Linked DNA regions of Cricetulus griseus. The protein of the gene in region 1 binds, or shares a complex with, the protein of each later gene. Links are inferred from orthologs where the notes say so. Each region holds a gene or a part of one and is shown in the gene's direction. Other genes may lie near its edges. The genes, in order: Mdc1 and Peli1.

What was found.
Region 2: the proteins of Mdc1 (region 1) and Peli1 are in contact, whole or in part, in a crystal structure (PDB 9IF9), measured with the Homo sapiens proteins. The link is inferred for Cricetulus griseus from reciprocal best matches to the Homo sapiens genes MDC1 and PELI1. Residues at the interface, in NP_055456.2 of Homo sapiens: Glu761, Asp762, Ser763, Glu764, Thr765, Gln766, Pro767, Phe768, Asp769; in NP_065702.2 of Homo sapiens: Arg104, Ser105, Thr106, Glu107, Thr115, Asp116, Val130, Gln131, Ser132, Thr133, Ile134, Ser135, Arg136, Phe137, Thr185, Asn186, Thr221, Arg222, Ser223, Ala224, Cys247.

What each region holds. Positions count from the first base shown.
Region 1 is NW_023276806.1:229,744,825-229,754,682, forward strand, and holds the start of Mdc1 (mediator of DNA damage checkpoint protein 1), read left to right. Parts: upstream 1-4,161; 5' UTR 4,162-4,164; coding exon 4,165-4,300; intron 4,301-5,708; coding exon 5,709-6,089; intron 6,090-6,174; coding exon 6,175-6,250; intron 6,251-6,645; coding exon 6,646-7,904; intron 7,905-8,022; coding exon 8,023-8,091; intron 8,092-8,241; coding exon 8,242-8,334; intron 8,335-9,425; coding exon 9,426-9,644; intron 9,645-9,858. UniProt on the Homo sapiens protein: Histone reader protein required for checkpoint-mediated cell cycle arrest in response to DNA damage within both the S phase and G2/M phases of the cell cycle.
Region 2 is NW_023276807.1:85,379,308-85,387,392, reverse strand, and holds the end of Peli1 (E3 ubiquitin-protein ligase pellino homolog 1), read left to right. Parts: intron 1-648; coding exon 649-750; intron 751-3,736; coding exon 3,737-3,934; intron 3,935-4,019; coding exon 4,020-4,208; intron 4,209-4,775; coding exon 4,776-5,342; 3' UTR 5,343-7,170; downstream 7,171-8,085. UniProt on the Homo sapiens protein: E3 ubiquitin ligase catalyzing the covalent attachment of ubiquitin moieties onto substrate proteins. Involved in the TLR and IL-1 signaling pathways via interaction with the complex containing IRAK kinases and TRAF6.

The sequences.
Region 1 (9,858 bases):
CTTGTACGCTGAAGGCTAACCTGGTCTACAAAGTGAGAGCCTGTCTTGAAAACAAACCACACACGGGGCTGGAGAGATGACTCGGCAATTAAGAGCATTTGTCCTCGGAAAAAGAGCCAGGTTCGATTCCCATCACTATTTAAGGCTTTCCACTATGGGTAAGTCCTGTTCCAGGGAGCCCGGCACCCCCTTCCGCCCTCGGCAGGCATGTGGCACTCAGATAGTGCAGAGACAGACATCCAGACAAAATTCTAATACACATGAGTAAATACCTCCTCAAGAAAGAGAAAACAAAGGAAGGGGTGTGGTAAGCAGTATCAGGTCGTGAAGGAGAGGTGTGGACAGACAGGCAGGAGGATCAATGAGTTCACTGCTAACCTGGTCTAGGCCAGCCAGAGGTACATAGTGAGACCCTTTGTCAGAGAGAAAATGTATCAAAGACATTGCTGACATTCAGTCCATACACAGCTCAAGTTACCTTTTAAATAAAGGAACATTAAATAGCATTAATACCCCTTCATTCATTAAAAACACAATTAATTTGGGTCATGATAATAAGGAAAGAGATCAATTTTGTGTTACTTGAATTTGTCCCGTTAGCAGTAGGAACATGGGGAAGGAATCCAACTTACAGCTTCAAACAAACGTCTGCCAATTTGTTTATTGTGAACACAACGAGATAACCGATGGGAGAGAACTTAAAAACTATCCAAGCCCATTTCCTTGCTACGCTTTCATGTTTTGTGACGATAATAATTTTCTTTATCTCATTCCCATCTTTTGAAAGATGACAGATATTTTGAGGTTTTAGTAAAACAGTTTTGCCCACCCACGTCTGTTTTATTTAGGATCTTCCATTTAGGAAGGTGACCTCAAAATGTCCGTCATTTTACACACACACACACACACACACACACATATTCCTTGCTAAGCTTTCCAAATCAGAAGCAAATGGAATCCCTCTGCAACGGGGAGTTCTGGAGCGCCACGCCTACGGGCACCTTTCCAATCTGCAGTGTGCAGCCCGCAGCCACGACTGCAGCCCGCAAACCCTTCATTACACGTTGAGCCGGCCAGCGCCATTTCTGGGACGACCGAGAAGGGCGCTCTGGCCTCGGAACGACGTCTATGGTACGGCCCTTCTAGCCACTGCCGGCGACTGGCGCGAGACTCTATAGTAAGGCGTTTGGAAAATCGGCGCGGGAAGTGTGCGGCAGAGGACGTAGCGACGGAGGGTGGATGGGTGGGTGGGTCCAGGGTGCTAGCCAATCAGGGAGCCGGCGTCTCAGGCCACACCCCCTTTGCCTGTTAGCGGCGCTTGCTTCGGCTCCTTTCCCGCCGCCAGCCACGCTTTTTTTGAGCTGTGAGGGGGCGAGGCGGGGGCGGGGCTTCCGTCGCGGGATCCTAACCAATCGGCGCTCTCCGCTTCGTAAGAGACAGCTCCAGCAGCCAATCGGCCCGCCGAGACTCTTCCGGGGTTCGCTTTTCCCGCCACCGCGGTGGCGGCCGTTGCTGGCGGCGCGCGCGCGCGCGGGGTTTCCGTGGGTGAGTCGGCCGCCCGCGCCCGGGTTACCATCTTGATTCCTGCCGTGGCCACGCCAGAGGGGCGTGCCTGGCTGGGGTGTCACTGACTGGGCGGAGGTAGTTCGGGTTGTCGCTTCAGGGCCTCCCTCCTCTGCTAACCGCGGCCCAGGCGAAGGTTTGTTGACAGGGAATCTGTGGGCCGCCGGGTCAGCCAAAGATGGTCGCTCCTCACGGGGAGCAAGGGTCGTAGGCGTCGGCGCGGCTGACAGGACGGAGTTGACTTCCCTGTCAGCGGCTCGTGGCATCTTTATAGGTAAAAAAGAAAAGGTCTTCCCAGGCAGTTTTGAGGTTTTTGGTCGTCAGACTGTCCCTTCACGAGTAGCTCTCTGGCCTCGTAGCTCCCGAGAGAGGAGAGAGAGAGAGAGAGGAGAGGAGAGAGAGAGAGAGAGAGAGAGAGAGAGAGAGAGAGAGAGAGAGAGAGAGAGAGAGAGAGAGAGAGAGAGAGAGAGAGAGAGAGAGAGAGAGCAGGGTTTATTTTGGTTGAGGTGCCAGGTGCGCTTCCTCATTGTCAAGTCAATGAGACGGACGTGGTTGTGGGTGTGGGGAGATGCAGAGGCGGCTCCCCCGCTACCATCTGGAGTGTAGGGGAAAAAAAGCGTCTTGCCAGGGAGTTACATTAGGCAAGTTTGACTTGGAGCCCATCTATGTTGTAGTTTCTCCGCCTAAAAAGAAAAGAATAGTTTATACCTACAGGGTTTTTCGGAAGAATAAATGAATTAGACAAAGTATTAAAAATAGTTTGGCCCGGGTGGTGCTGGCGCATGCCTTTAATCTCAGCACTCAAGAGACAGAGACAGGTGGATCTCTGTGAGTTCGAGGCCAGCCTGATCCACAGAGTGAGTTCCGGGACAGCCAGAGCTGTTACACAGAGGAACCCTGTCTAAAAAGAACATCAAAACCTGGAGTTTGCACAAGGCCCTGAGTTTGATCCTCAGTAGCTCTCTGAGATCTGTGTGTCAGAGGTTAGAAGACAGTATATTTCATGTAGCAGTTTCTCAGCAACCCGTGCCTACACACGGGCCAGGCCTGGTTCTAAGGAAGGTGTCAGATCCTCTGGAACTGGAGTTATGAACTGCTGTGAGGGTTCTGGGAACTGAACCTCTTGAAGAACATGGCAGTTATCTTAACCACTGAGCCGTCCCTTTAACCGCTTAACTTGAACTTGCTATTTATTATTATTATTATTTATTATATTATTATTATTATTATTATTATTTTGTTTTTCTAGACAGGGTTTCTCTGTGTAGCATTGGAGTCTATCCTGGTACTCACTCTGGAGACCAGACTGGTCTCAAACTCAGCGATCCGCCTGCCTCTGCCTCCTGAGTGCTGGGATTAAAGGCATGCACCACCAAGGCCAGGCAATTTTATTATTATTTTTTATAAAGAGGTCCTAATATGTTGTCCCAGCTTACCTGGAACTCCTGGACTCAAGCAATTGCACTGCTTCAGCTTCCTTCAGCAGCTGGAACTGTGGACATACACTACCTCGATCCAGTTTATCATGCTTTTATATACTTTAAATAAAAGTACCCATTTTGGGGCTGGAGATATAGCTCAGTGGTAGAGCATTTGCCATGTGTGAGCCCTAGGTTTAGTTTCCAGTACCTAAAATCCCATGTAACATTCCTTTGTATATAATGTATATATAATGGTATACTTGGACCTTAATTCTTTGTCATGACCAAAAGTATAAATATACACATACATAATATTTTTGTTTTGTTTTGGGGAGCAAGGTCTTACTGTAACCAAGGGTGGTTTCTATACCCCACTCTTTTGAGACAGGGTCTAACTAGTAGCTCTGGCTGGCTTGGAACAGACTACATACACCAGGCTGGCCTTGAACTGACTCCTGCCTCCCAAGTGCTATAATCAAAGGCGTGTGTCACCCACCATGCCTGGCCAGGTCTCCAACTCTTAATATTCCTGCCTTGGGATTTCAGGTGCTGGAGTTACAGATATATGCCAACATCTTTTAATCAAAAGTTTTGTGTGTGTGTGTGTGTGTGTGTGTTGTTTTTAGACAGGGTTTCTCTGTGTAGCCCTGGCTGCCCTGGAACTCACTATGTAGAACAGGCTGGCCTTGAACTCAGAGATCTGCCTCTCTCTGCCTCCCAAATGCTGGGGTTAAAGGTGTGTGTCACCACTGGCTGGCCCCCAAAAAAGTTGTTTTTTTCCCATTGATAGTACTAAGTGTTGAACATATGGCCTCACATAGGCTAGCCAAACATTCTGTCACTGACATTCTTACTATCCATGCCCCACCCCAATATTTTTACATGCTTCAGAATGACAGAAAAGCATCACCTCATGGTGGCGCACACCTTTAATCCCAGCACTCAAGAGGCAGACACAGGTGGATCTCTGTCAATTTGAGGCCAGCCTTGTCTACAGAGTGAGTTCCAGGACAGCAGAGAAACCCTGTCTGGGAAGAAAGAAGGAAGGAAGGAAGGAAAGGCAGGCAGGAATCACCCCCACGTCACTCCACGTTCCTCCAGGGTTATCTCGTTATTTTTTCTCTACAAGTGTGTGTAAACCAATGACCAGAACAATGATAATGTGTTTCCCTCACAGGTCATGGAAAACACCCAGGTTATTGACTGGGATGCTGAAGAGGAGGAGGAGACAGAAATACCCAGTGGGTCCTTGGGGTATAGCTTGGAGCCTATAGGGCAGCTGCGTCTCTTCAGTAGTACTCATGGACCAGAAAGAGGTCAGGAGATATTGGGAGCTGAATGAGTATTGGGTCTTGTCTTCTCCTTAGAGGCAGTTGGATCATTGGTAAACCTTATGTATGTTTCTAAGAGGATAATAATTGTTGTACTAGGGATGACAAAGAGGCCACCTGAGTTGACTGTTCCAGGCGGGTACCCTGTACTTTCTGGGAGTGTTTTTCTTTTGTTAGGAGAAAATGAAGAGCTCCGAATAAAAATAGAATGTGGGAGCTGAAGAGATGGTTCAGGGACTAAGAGTGCTTACTGCTCTTGAAGAGGACCTGGTTTAGGTTTGCAGCACCCACATGGTGGTCAAAACCACCTGTAGCTCTGGTTCCAGGGGATCTGATGCTCTCTTCTGACCTTGGGTACCTGAACATATATGGTGGACATAAACTCATGCAGGTGCACACATATACATAAATAATGAGTAAATAAAAAATTTATTTATTTTGAGACAGGGTTTCTCTGTCTAGCTCAGACTGTCCTAGAACTCAGAGCGATCTGCCTGCCACTGCCTCCTCCTGAGTGCTGGGATTAAAGGTGTGTGCCATCACTAAAGGGCATAAAATTTTTAAAAGGTAAAATACATTGTGGCCTAGAAATGGATATGTAACACAACTGAGCAGTATACTTACAATGATTGCGATGGTTAGATTTATATTGTGTGTATTGTTTTTCTTCGAGACAGAGTATATATGTAGCCCTTGCTGTCCTGGAACTCACTATGCAGACTGGCCTCAAACTCACAGAAACCTACCTGCCTCTGCCTTTCAAATGCTAGAACTAAAGTCATGTGCTAATATGCCCAGCCTATATTGTGTATTTTATTACAATAAGAAACTCCCTTTGGGCATGGTGGTGCATGTCTGTGATCCCTGTACTCAGGAGGTGAGGTTGAGGATAACCTAGGCCACATAGCAAGTCCGAAAACAATCTGGGTTACATAGTGAGACCCTGGATCAAAAACAAAGCAAGGGCAGTAGCTCAGGGAAAGAGTGCTTAGCTAGCATGCATGAAACTGTTTTCGGATCTGTTGGAACAATACCGATGAGGTGAGTAGATAGAATATTACAGCAAAGTGATGTATTGTGAATGCTCTTCTACGCTGGTGTGCCCATTGTTCTTAACCCTGTGAGAGCTTTGAGTGAGCAGTAGGTACCATCTTCATTCAGGCCAGGACTCTGCCCTTACTCTTTAATGTTTCTTCTTCTTTTTTTTTTTTTTTTTTTTTTTTTTTTTTTAAGACAGGATTTCTCTGTGGCTTTGGAGGCTGTCCTGGAATTAGCTCTTGTAGACCAGGCTGGTCTCGAACTCACATAGATCCACCTGCCTCTGCCTCCCGAGGGCTGGGATTAAAGGTGTGTGCCACCAACGCCCAACTTAATGTTTCTTCTTGATCCTTAGATTTCCCACTCTACCTTGGCAAGAATGTAATTGGCCGAAGCCCCGACTGCTCTGTGGCCCTGCCTTTTCCATCCATCTCTAAACAGCATGCAGTAATTGAAATCTCAGCTTGCAACAAAGCCCCTATCCTCCAGGATTGTGGGAGCCTCAATGGCACTCAACTGGTAAAGCCCCCAAAGGTCCTAACCCCTGGAGTGAGCCATCGTCTGAAGGACCAGGAATTAATTCTGTTTGCAGACTTTCCCTGCCAGTACCGTCGCTTGGATGTCCCTCCACCTTTGGTCTCTCGGGGACTTCTAACTATAGAGAAGACCCCCAGAATACAGGGAGGGTCCCAAACCTCCAGAGTTTTGTTGGCTGAGGATTCGGAGGAGGAAGTAGGTAAGTTTGTGCCTTGGGTGTATGTGTGTGAAGAGACAGGAATGAGGGTGTAAACTGTCAATTTATTTCTTCCTGTTCTTGCCAGATTTTCCTTCTGGAAGGTATGTGGCAAATGGATCAAGGAATCCAACGTCTCCATCAGCAACAGTAGTACCAGAAAGGTGAGTAGCAAAGTACCAGATGCCTGGATCTTTTGTTTTGTTTTGTTTTTAAACAGTCTCTGTAGCCCAAGCTGGTCTTAGACTCCTGGCAGACCTCTGGGTTCAGTATCAGGATTGGGACGATAGGGTTGAGCTTCCTTAACTGGTTTTAGACACCTCGGCCTTTGAATAAAGAGTCGGTCTTGAATAAATGAGGTGATTATCTTGACAGGTGGAGCCGAGAGCCTAGGCATAATTACTTCCTCAGCTGAATTAAATTATGAAGAGTACTTGTGGTGTGCTCAGTGGGGATGGGAAGACACCTGGCAGCAGTGCCTGCTCACTCTCAGGGCCCTCACAGCGGAGTGGGGTGGCCTATCCAGGGAGTACATTCTGTGGGCTCTCTGTCTTTGCAGTGATGAAGAGGGGTCTTCTCCAGCCCAAAGTGTCCGTGGGCCGTCTTTGCCCTTTGACTTGGGCAGTGACACAGATGAAGAGCTATGTCCACAGCCAGCAGTTGGGGAGTCCTCTTCAGTTGCCAGGGATGGTGCTGCTGCAGAGGCCAAGCAGCTGGAAGCTAATGGAGTGACATCTGGTATCCAGCTGGTACTGGCTCAGCCTGCTGAGCAAAAGCTCAGAGATGCAAAAGTCAAGAGTGAGGCTGGCAATGGAGCGGCTGTGGTTGGGAGGGGCTCCACTGTGGGTAAGGACAGCAACACGGAAATGGGTGAAGAACACCAGCCTTCCGGCTTTGTGGACAGCGATACAGACGTGGAAGAAGACAGGATCCCTGTGACCCCCCCTGTAGTTCCGGGGAAGAAGCAAGTCCTGCTTGGAGTTGGTAAAAAGGACCCTGGAGCACCTGTCGTGACCCATCTGCAGGACAGCCCAGCTGGTCGTGGCACAGGTGTGGAAGAAGGCAAGACTCCAGTGGCTGGCCCTCCAGAGAGAAACCACACGGCCATGGTGATCAGCAGCGACACAGATGAGGAAGATGGAGTCTCAGCAGCAGTCACCTTGGCCCATCTGAAAGACAGGGGGATGGCTCTGTGGAGCAGGGAGCCAGGCATGGAAGAGGTCAAGTCCCAACCACAGGTCCTCGTAGAACGAAGCCAGAGTGCCTCTGGGAAAGACAGTGACACAGACGTGGAGGAGGAAAAGAGAGAAGTGGTCCCTGACAGCCCCATGGACACAGATGAGGCTCTTACTGTCCCACATTCAGAGAGCCAAGCTCCCCATAGAGCCAGTGATGATGTAGACCAGGGTGTGGATATGGGCTCCCCTGGTGGTCAGCTAGAGGGAAACCAGGCCTCCTCTGCCACAGTAGAAGACAGTAGTGCACAAGCAGGGAAGGAAGTCCTGCCTCCTGAGGAGGCCTGGGAAACAGCTGTGGAGGAAGGCTCATCTTCAGCAGCGGCAGATGTAAGACAAAGCAAGCAGCCAGGAGTAGAAGATGCTGGGACAGAGTGGGCTGCAACTGTTTGTGAGCAGGCGAGCATGCTTGAGGTGGGGGTCCAAGGCAGGTCACCTGCTACACTGGTAGAGCCAGTGGTGGTGCCTACAGCTACTCTGGGGGATCCCACTCAGCCACAGAGAGAGGGAGCCCAGACCCCCACAGGAAAGGAGAGAGGAGTACAAATGGGCAGGACCAAGAATGCCAAAGACTGCCGTGATGGTAAGTGCTGCTCTCTGCTCTGCCCTTGACCCCTGAAGTAAACTGGCTGTAAGAGTCAGGAGAGAACTGTAGAAGTCTGAGGGTGAGTTGTCATTCTGTCTGTCTCTTATCTCCTCAGCAGAGTCTGAAGATGTGTGCCTTCCGGCTACCCAGTGCTTTGTAGACAGGGAGGGCCAGAGCTCAGAAGGTGAGGACCTTGTGTTGTTTGGGTCATCTGAGTGCCAGTAAGAGCCAGGGGATTAGATTGGCAGTCCTAGAAAGATGGTATGGCCAAGATGGGGCATGGGGCACAGGCATTCTGGGAGGAGCTGTGCTCCAGCCGTCTTTTCTTGTGCAGCTGTCCAGAGTTTGGAAGATGAGCCTACGCAAGTCTTTCCATGCACTCTTCCCCAAGAGCCTGGGCCTTCCCACCTCAGCCTGCAGACGCCAGGTACAAGATAGTCTCTGTGAGCCCTCAGCCTTGTATCCTTTCTCGTCCTCTTCTGCTGTGTCCTTTAATGCTGTGTCCTGTGTTAGATGTGTCTGTATCACATCATGTCTGTGGGCATGCCTGGTGCCCACAGAGGTCAGTGCTGCTGACTGTTGAGCATCTCTCCAGCCTCTCATACTCTTGTTTGTGTGGAGACGAGGAGCTCATGTAGCTGAGGATGATTTGAACTTGTGGGTCTCCAAGTGCTGGGCATCAGGAAAAAATCCATACCAGGTGTGGTGATACACATTGGGCGGCAGAGGCCGGAGCTCAGGACCAGCCTGGACTACATTGAAAGTTTGAGGCCTGGACTATATGAGACCTTATCTCAAAAAAAAAAAAACAAAAAAAAACAAAAAAACAAGATGGAGCTGGGTTATCCCAGCACTTGGGAGGCAGAGGCAGGTGGGTCTCTGAGTTCAAGGCCAGCCTGGTCTATAGAACAAGTTCTAGGACAGCCATGGCTACACAGAGAAACCCTGTCTCAGGAAGGGGAAGAAGATGGGCTGGAGAACTGGCTGGCAGCTGTTGTAGAGGACAGAGTTCATCCCTGTCAGGCAACTGACAACCACCTGAGAGAGACTCCAGTTTCTGGAGATCAAGGCCCTCTCAGATACACACACACACACACACACACACACACACACACACGATATACGCACATACATATGAAGAAACATTTCTAAATACATCTTAAAAGATAAGATAACACATCAAAGCAGATTCCTGGGTCTTACCCTGATTCTAGTTCAGGAGATTTGGGATTGGCCCAGAAACTCAATTTTTGTGTCTACATGCCAGAGGTTGAACTCAGGGCTTTATGCATGCCAGGTGAATGCTCTCCTCAGCCACATACACAGTCCTTATTTTCCAGATGAGCCTCCTGAAGGAGAGATTATAATCTTCTAAATAGTATTCAGTGTCATAACTACCACCCTTACTTCTAGCTTGCCTTAAGTAACCCACTTAGCCTTTTGTGAGTCTTAGCCTAGTTCTTAGCCTTATTGTCTTTTTTACCTGCATGCCTATTTCCTTTTTCTGATCCTCTTTAGGTCCAGGTGCCCAGGATGTGCCTTGGGAAGTCTTAGCTACACAGCCGTTTTGTCTGAGAGAAGCTGAGGCCTCTGAACTGCAGCTCATGGACACCCACCCTGCAGCTCATGAATCCCACCCATCTGTGTCTAGTGCATCAGCAGGACAGCAGCATCTGGTTCACACAGAGCCGCTGGGAATTGAAGGCGGAGAGATGCAAACTGTGGAGAAAGCCATGGGTATACCAAAGAACACAGCAGACAGTTGGGGGAAGACGTGACGGGTGGGGGGAAGAACTCCTCAGGGTGGAGAGGACCAAGGAAGGTGCTGGCTAGAGACAGACAGGGATAGAGTCTGGCTTGGGGAAGGGGGTGGACCCTGAAGGGAGTAAGGAGAGTATGAAGGGAGAAATGGAGATGTGCAAAGACACACAGAAGAGACACAAGTGGGGAA
Region 2 (8,085 bases), on another chromosome or scaffold:
CTTCATTATGAGGACTATCCCATGTGTTACAAGATATTTAAGTCCTTGGTTCCATGTGCACTAAAAGTCATTTAATCACTAACATCATTGTGACAGCCAAAAGCATTTAAATATTTTCAGATGCCTCTTAACTATATAATACCTCTGGTTGAGGGACCACTGTCAAGGGAAATGCATATAATCTACTTTCTCATTTTGTGTATGTGCATGCTTGTATGTATATGGAAGCATGTTTGTGTGTGTGCCTGTGAAGGCCAGAGGTCAACATCTGGTGGCTTCCTCAGTCATTCTCCATCTTGTTTTTTGAGTCAGGGTCTCACTGAACCTGGAGGTCTTTAATCACTGTGGGCTGGCTGGCCAGTGAGCTCGAGGTGTCGTCCTGTCTTTGTGTCCCTAGCACTGATATACCTCCCAGCCCTACTTTCTCATTATCCTGCCCTTCATGCTTTCATTGATAGCTCCTTTTTAAGCAAGAAAAATCTCAGGGATTAAAAATTGATGAGTGTCAATTTTTTAAATTTTTGATATATCATGTATGTGATATATCATGTATACATGTATGTGACAAATATTTTACCTTCCTTTAGTTGAAGAGATTGTCTGATTTGATTGACTGCTAATTTTTGCTGTTAACCTTTTCATTCATAGGCAATAAGCAACAAGGACCAGCATAGCATATCATACACATTATCTCGAGCCCAGACAGTGGTGGTTGAATATACTCATGACAGCAACACTGATATGTTTCAGGTATTATAACATAAATTTTTTCTTTAAAAATGAAAAGGTTTAAAAATCTATTGTCAGTGACTTTGCTATGATCAGATTAAATATACTTTCATATTGTATCTGTTTAAAATATGTGTTGATTTTTGAAGCCTCATATTTAAAAGTCGTCATAGTATTGTTTAAAGATGGGCTCTGAAGCTAGAGAGTTGACTTGAGGGTTAAGAGCACTTGCTACTCTTGCAGAGGACCCAGGTTTGATTCCTAGCCCCACCTTAAAGTGGCTCATAACAGCCTGTAACTCCGGTTCCAGGGGATCTAGTGTCTCTTCTGGCCTGGTAAACATGTCTTAGCTACTCTGTGCCTCCTCCTCCTCTGTAAAGTGCAGAGAATAGTCTCTCCCTCAGGACTGTTAGAGGCTTAAGGGGGTGCGTGCATGGAGCAGATGCAGATCCGAGCCAGCTGAGAGTAAACTCATAGTAAATAGTGGTTGTTGCTATTCCAAACAGAAAACCAGAAACATTCTACACATAGTTTAGACTTCTTGTTACCCACCTCCTACCTTCCTCTCTAAGCAACAAAGAGTACAGGCAGTTTCTAACTATTTACATCAGTTAGAGGAATTTGGTTTTCAGCACACAACTGGTCAAGGCTACTGGTATAATAAAAATCTCTCCCTCTGGTTCCCATTCTCTGCATCAATCTGATGCTGATACTTATTTTTATATGCTGATAGATTATAGAGCAGTTAAGCCCAGAGACATGAAATTCTTAATATTTTCTCTCTTAATATTTGGTTTTCTAAAGAAACTTAACTAGAATTGACTGTTATCAGTCAATTAAAATTATTGTCCAATTAGTGTTTTCATCTTTTTTATAATGCTAAATGAAAGGACTGAGAGATCTATTTAATTTTGATCATTAGCAAAATATGTTTGAGGCTGATCTCTCATCTAGCTCTGTAAGATGTATGATTATTTCTTAAGAATTGTATCTTCACAGTTATTATTAGAGTATGGATGTTTGTTTCTCTTCCTTGTTTTTGCTAAACTAAATAAACAACATCCTTAGTGATGAAAGATTGGATCACGATAAAACATAATAGTAACAGTGTTTTCCCACATCCTTATCAACAAGCAATATTTAAAATAAATGTGATTAGTTTTTTAAAAGTCAAAATGACAAGTAGCTGTTTGCTCACATATTTGAAATTTAACTTCAAAAAATAAAACTTGTATTTATATGTTTATCTTGTCCTTTGTAGTTGGCTTTGTTTTCCTAAGTTAATTTTCTGTGGGCATTATCCCTGTGGAAAATTAAAGATATCTGTACTATAAAGTCTAGGAAAAATCAGAAACCAGTCTAGTAAATTACTTCATTATTGAAGGATGATTTATCTGCATTCCAAACTGAGTAAGAACATTCATGCTGAGTCTGTCAGGTAAAAATTCAGATTCCAGTCCAGTTAACATGTGGAGGTGCTCTCCAGTGTCTCAGTGAGAAGTGCAGACTTCTGATGGGGAGGAAGGACAGGTAAAAGACGTCATAGTCTTTTTTTTTTTTTTTTTTAATCTGTACCTTCAGGCCTTTAATCCTAGCACTTGGGAGGCAGAGGCAGGCAAATTTCTGTGAGTTTGTGGCCAGACTTGTCTACAGAACAAGTTCCAGGACAACCAGGGCTGCACAGAGAAACCCTGTCTCAGAGAGACAAAACAAATCTATACCTACTAACCAGATTTAATAGGACTTCTGACAATAGCCAGTGAAAGGGATTCTAAAATAAAGGATGTCAGAAATAGTATAAAGTATGGTAGAAAATTGACAATTCTACTTATAGCTAGAACATGGTACATAGAAGTAACAGAAAATTGGTTTAGGTTGACTTTTTTTAAGGCAGCCCTTGGGTTCACTTCTGTCTCCTCTGGAAAAGTAAAAACCATGCACCGAGGCACAAAGTTGTGTTTCCAGCTACTTGGTTAAACTGAGGCAGAAGGAGGTAGAATTCTAGGCCATCTTGGACTATATAGCTAGACATCCCCCCCCAAAGGAATCCTGTTTGTAGAGAGTTGATATTTTCTATGTGCCATCATTAATATGTTATAGAACCTATGATTTCTAAACGTTTCCACTAAAACCAGTGACACATGTCACTTTTGTCGTCTGTTTCATTTCTTTTTTCCCCCTTCAACTTTCAAGATGCAAGAAACTTTCTTACTAGCTAGTACTTTAAAGATAGTTTACCCTGATACCTGCCTCACCAAGGACTCCAGCTAGAAACCTTACTGCTCAGAAATGAAAAAAAAATACCAAGGTGTATGACAAATCCTACAGCCTACATAGAGAATTCTTTTTCTGTGCTTCCTTGGGGACCCTGGAACAAAGTACCTTTGAAGTACTGTTCTTTGAAGTTTAGTTATTTGATGTCTCAATCCTTATCAGAGTAAGTGGTTGGAGGAGAGGCTTGTTGCTAAAAACAAGCACAACCAAAAGCAAAAACTGACAGCTGCTAATAACCTAATGCAAAGAGGTGGAGATCTGTTTCAGAGACTCAGAGCAAGGCTGTATCTACAGCCATCAGTGAGGATCAGTGTTTGTGTACAGCTTGGGAACACAGCAGCAGGTTAGCTTTATTTCAATGATGTTCTAGAGTTGTCATAAAAGATTTACTCACCTTCAGTGTATTCTGTTAAGGTGGGGTAGTATATGGTAGATATATTTCTACCTTAAAAGGGTTAAAGCCTAAGGCCATCTAAGAACCTCATCACATTAGAGTCTTTATTCCCTAAGGATCTTGGAAATTCCATTGTAGTTCCCACTTAATTCTATGCTCCAAGTGACTGCTGTATCAGTGTGACAGATTAGGTTTCAAAGGTGTAGATGGAGATAGTTAAGTATTGTTAAGTGTGAGATTTAGAAATTTCAGAGGCCTAATACTTTTACCGTATCTCTTTCTTAATGGATTCTACTGTGGTCTTTGAATGAAGTCATATGTTCTTTTTTTCCCCTTTAGATTGGTCGGTCAACTGAAAGTCCTATTGATTTTGTAGTAACTGACACAGTTCCTGGAAGTCAGAGTAATTCTGACACACAGTCAGTACAAAGCACTATCTCAAGATTTGCCTGTAGGATCATATGTGAGCGCAATCCCCCCTTTACAGCTCGGATTTATGCTGCAGGATTTGATTCATCAAAAAACATCTTTCTTGGGGTAAAAAGCCTTTTTTCCTAATGTATTCTTTTATACAATTTCTATTTCCAAATTGCACATAAGTAGAAACTCACTATTTTTATAGGAAAAAGCTGCCAAATGGAAGACATCTGATGGGCAGATGGATGGCTTGACCACTAATGGTGTTCTTGTGATGCATCCACGAAATGGGTTCACAGAAGACTCCAAGCCTGGAATATGGAGAGAAATATCAGTTTGTGGGAATGTGTTCAGTCTTCGAGAAACCAGATCAGCTCAACAGAGAGGAAAGATGGTAAGTACTGTGTAGCTTCTTTTTACAACAATAAACATAGGGTAAGTTGAACTGGAGAGAGAGAGAGAGAGAAGTAGAGAGAGAGAGAGAGAGAGAGAGAGAGAGAGAGAGAGAGAGAGAGAGAGATTGTCAGTTGATTGGTTTTTGCAGCTCTTAGACATATTCCTGACACACAAAAACTAAGACCATCAAACACTGACCTCCAAACACTAATTCTAGAGGATGGTGTTTGTTTCAGCTAGAAAAGGTTAAGCATCTATTTTTTTGTACATATCTTTGACTATACTTAACTAATTAAAAATAACTAAGTTTGTTGATTAGCCAGATAATTAAATCATAAGTTGTCTTTTGGCTTGAAAGACAGAAGTTGCTATTCAATGTGTTATTGTTGATTTTCAAATTTAGCATTTTTCAAACTTCTAAAATTTCTACTTCCACATTACACACAAATAGAAACTTCCTTAAGTCTAGCAGGTAATCCTGGAAGGTTCTCTGTCTTATTAGGACTCACTGAAGACCTAGTGTAAACACAATGGTAAATACGGTTTTGATTCTTTTCTCCTTCAGGTGGAAATCGAAACCAATCAGCTACAAGATGGCTCCTTAATTGACCTTTGTGGTGCAACCTTGCTTTGGCGTACTGCGGAAGGCCTTTCCCACACTCCTACTGTGAAGCACTTAGAAGCTTTAAGACAGGAAATCAATGCAGCCCGACCTCAGTGCCCTGTAGGGTTCAACACACTAGCCTTTCCCAGTATGAAGAGGAAAGACGTTGTAGATGAAAAACAACCGTGGGTATATCTAAACTGCGGCCATGTTCATGGTTATCATAACTGGGGAAACAAAGAAGAACGTGACGGAAAAGATCGTGAATGTCCTATGTGTAGGTCTGTTGGTCCCTATGTCCCTCTGTGGCTTGGATGTGAAGCTGGATTTTATGTGGACGCCGGCCCTCCCACCCATGCCTTTAGCCCTTGTGGGCACGTGTGTTCAGAAAAGACAACGGCCTATTGGTCACAGATCCCACTTCCTCATGGTACTCACACTTTTCACGCAGCCTGTCCCTTTTGTGCACATCAGTTGGCTGGTGAACAAGGCTATATCAGACTTATTTTCCAAGGACCTCTAGACTAACAGCTGTCTCTAGGACTGCATTATAAGTTTATAAGCTAAGTGAGTTGGGTATTCCAACCAGTTGTCCACGTAAGTTTCTCTGCTCTGGTCATTGCATTAAGATGAAGAATTTTTTAAATATTTATAATAGCAATTTCTGAAAAAAATCTGAGAAAATCAAGCAAAGGAAATTTTGAAAGTTCCAGACTTCTGAATTCTGAGTTTTGAAAATATATTTTGAGGAGAAAAAGACATAGTCTAATTTGATGCCTTCGTTTTAGTGTTTTGAATCACCACCCATACTCAGTGTTGAGTTGTTCTGTATAACTGAGGGTTTGTTGGTTCAAACTACGTTAGTTTACAATTTGTTGCAAACATTGTAAAATATAGCAACATGTATATTAATTTTTTTCTATTTATCTTTATCATAGAAAATACCTTAGAATGTCGTGATAGAGTAGCATGGTAATGATGGTGTCACACACTTTGGGTGTGAATGGTAGTTTAGTGGGCACATAGCTCAAGGATTTGCAAAGTTAAGGAGAAAGACAAGAGATCTTCCTTCCCCCAGGCCTGTATAAGTAGGGAATTTGATGAATTAGAGTATTTCATAAAACCAGATTCACATTAATTACCATTGTCTAAGAGGTGTTTGTTTTTTAACCACATTGAAGTTAATCGGAAAACATTTTTTTCCTTAATGTTTCTCTCAAGTGTAGTACTATAACAAAAGCTAATGCTAAGAGACATTTTATATGCTCCTTTGAATATGCAATCTAATCTAGATGATCTATTTTTCTCCCATGGTAACTGATCTGTTTTTAGTGCCAGCGACATTTGGCAAGTTTATTTTTTTGGATATAAACTGTGGTTCATCTGTTCACTGTTTCTAAAAAAAAGAAAAAGAAAAAAGAAAAAAATCCTATGAGAAAGTACATAAATTAACAAGAAATTAACAATAAAAGAAAATTACTTGATTTGCTTTTAGAAAAAAAGAAATAAAAAGCGTTTTGTAAATTATTCTGTATTTGGGTTATTCCAAGCAGTAGAAATCTAAAACTACAAAGGGTTGAATGACAGTAGTACCTCCCTTTTAATCCAGCAGACCAGCCTTAACTGTGGTCTTGACTCCTAAGGACAGTGGCCTCAGTGTGACTTGTGAAATGTCTGGTTGGCGGATGGAGGGGAGTGACAGCAGAGGAGGACACACCGCAGGGTCTCTTAGTTCTCTAATTCCAGTATGTGCTTTGCAAGACAGTTTCTTCTCACCCTAGCCTTTTTTAAAATGCACCAGACATACAAACAGTTGCACTACACCAAACCCTTTTAACACTTCTAGAAATCAGCATACATTTAGATTAGATAGAGTCATCTTTCAATCTTTGGTTTCCTTTCCTTTAGTTTGAAAAACTGTATAATACTTAATCGACTGTTGTCAAATTCTTATATGTGGTAGTATAGCTTTACTTCATCTTACTACATCAGTGTTTTGATTTTTTTTTAAGTAAAACAAAAAAGTCACTTAGAAGCCATGAACTATTTTATTTTACTTGATTGTCAAATTCTTTGTTTTGAAAATGATCATTTGGGTTCACTCAGGAAATGCATGTCAAGAAATTTGTATTATAAGTTAGCTGTGATGTATCAGTAACTGCTGGTTATTACCCTTTTTTCAAAGAGATTTAGTTGATTTTGAAGTTTTCTGGTCACATGATTTGTGACTAATGCAAGGAAATCGAGTCCTGTGTTGTGTTTGTTCTTGTCATTTCTGTTGAGGCTATATATTGTAGCTTAATTTTTATTTGCAATTAATTTATTCAAACTAAGTAAATACTTTTCAAAATAGATATTTGAATTTGTCTCTGTGGGTTCCTTTTTGCACAATTGAGAATGGGAAGCCAGAAGTGATAATTCTACCCCAGACTAACTAGATCTGCCTCACTCTGCTGACGTAGTCATCATGTTAAATACATAGGAGTTTGCATTTAATGGAACACTAATGTCTCTGGTCCTCTAAATTAGGCCTGTTAGAGAGCTGGCAACTGAGCTACCTGAATCATGCTTATGATGATAAAGGTTCTATGTTCCCAGAAGCCCTGAATTTTCTCTCCTATCAGCTAAGAAATAAAACATGGCTCATTTTCTATGAAACTCAAGTTTTTAGACTCAAGAGATAAAAATCATTAGTCAGGTGTTTTTGTGTAAGTACATTGAGAGGTAGTTCTGTTTTATACTTACTGGTCTGTATTAAAGGAATTTCAGGGACTGGACAGGTGGCTCAGCAGTTAAGAGTGCTTGCTGCTCTTGCAGAGGAAGGGAGTTTCATCCAGCCTCCACGGCAAGTGGCTTTCACTGCCTTTGACTGCCTCTTCTGACCTTTGTGGCCTGCACCTGTACATGTGCAGACGCTTGCACATGTGCAGACACATAAAAATAAATCTGGCCAGCAGACAGGAGGCAGAGACAGGCGGTTCTCTGAGTTTGAGGCCAGCCTGATCTACAGAGCAAGTTCCAGGACAGCCAAGGCTACACAGAGAAACCGTGTCATAATGATGATGATGATGATGATGATGATGATGATGATGATGATGATGATGAAGAAGAAGAAGAAGAAGAAGTAAAGAAATGTCCATATTTTGGGCAAGGAAAAAAGTTATATGTACTTTTCCTAAATGAACTCTCAAGGAGGGTAATCTGTACGTCCTTTTTACATCAAACTGACCTCCATATTTAGAAGGCCCTTGATCTGAAAGGAATTCCATTC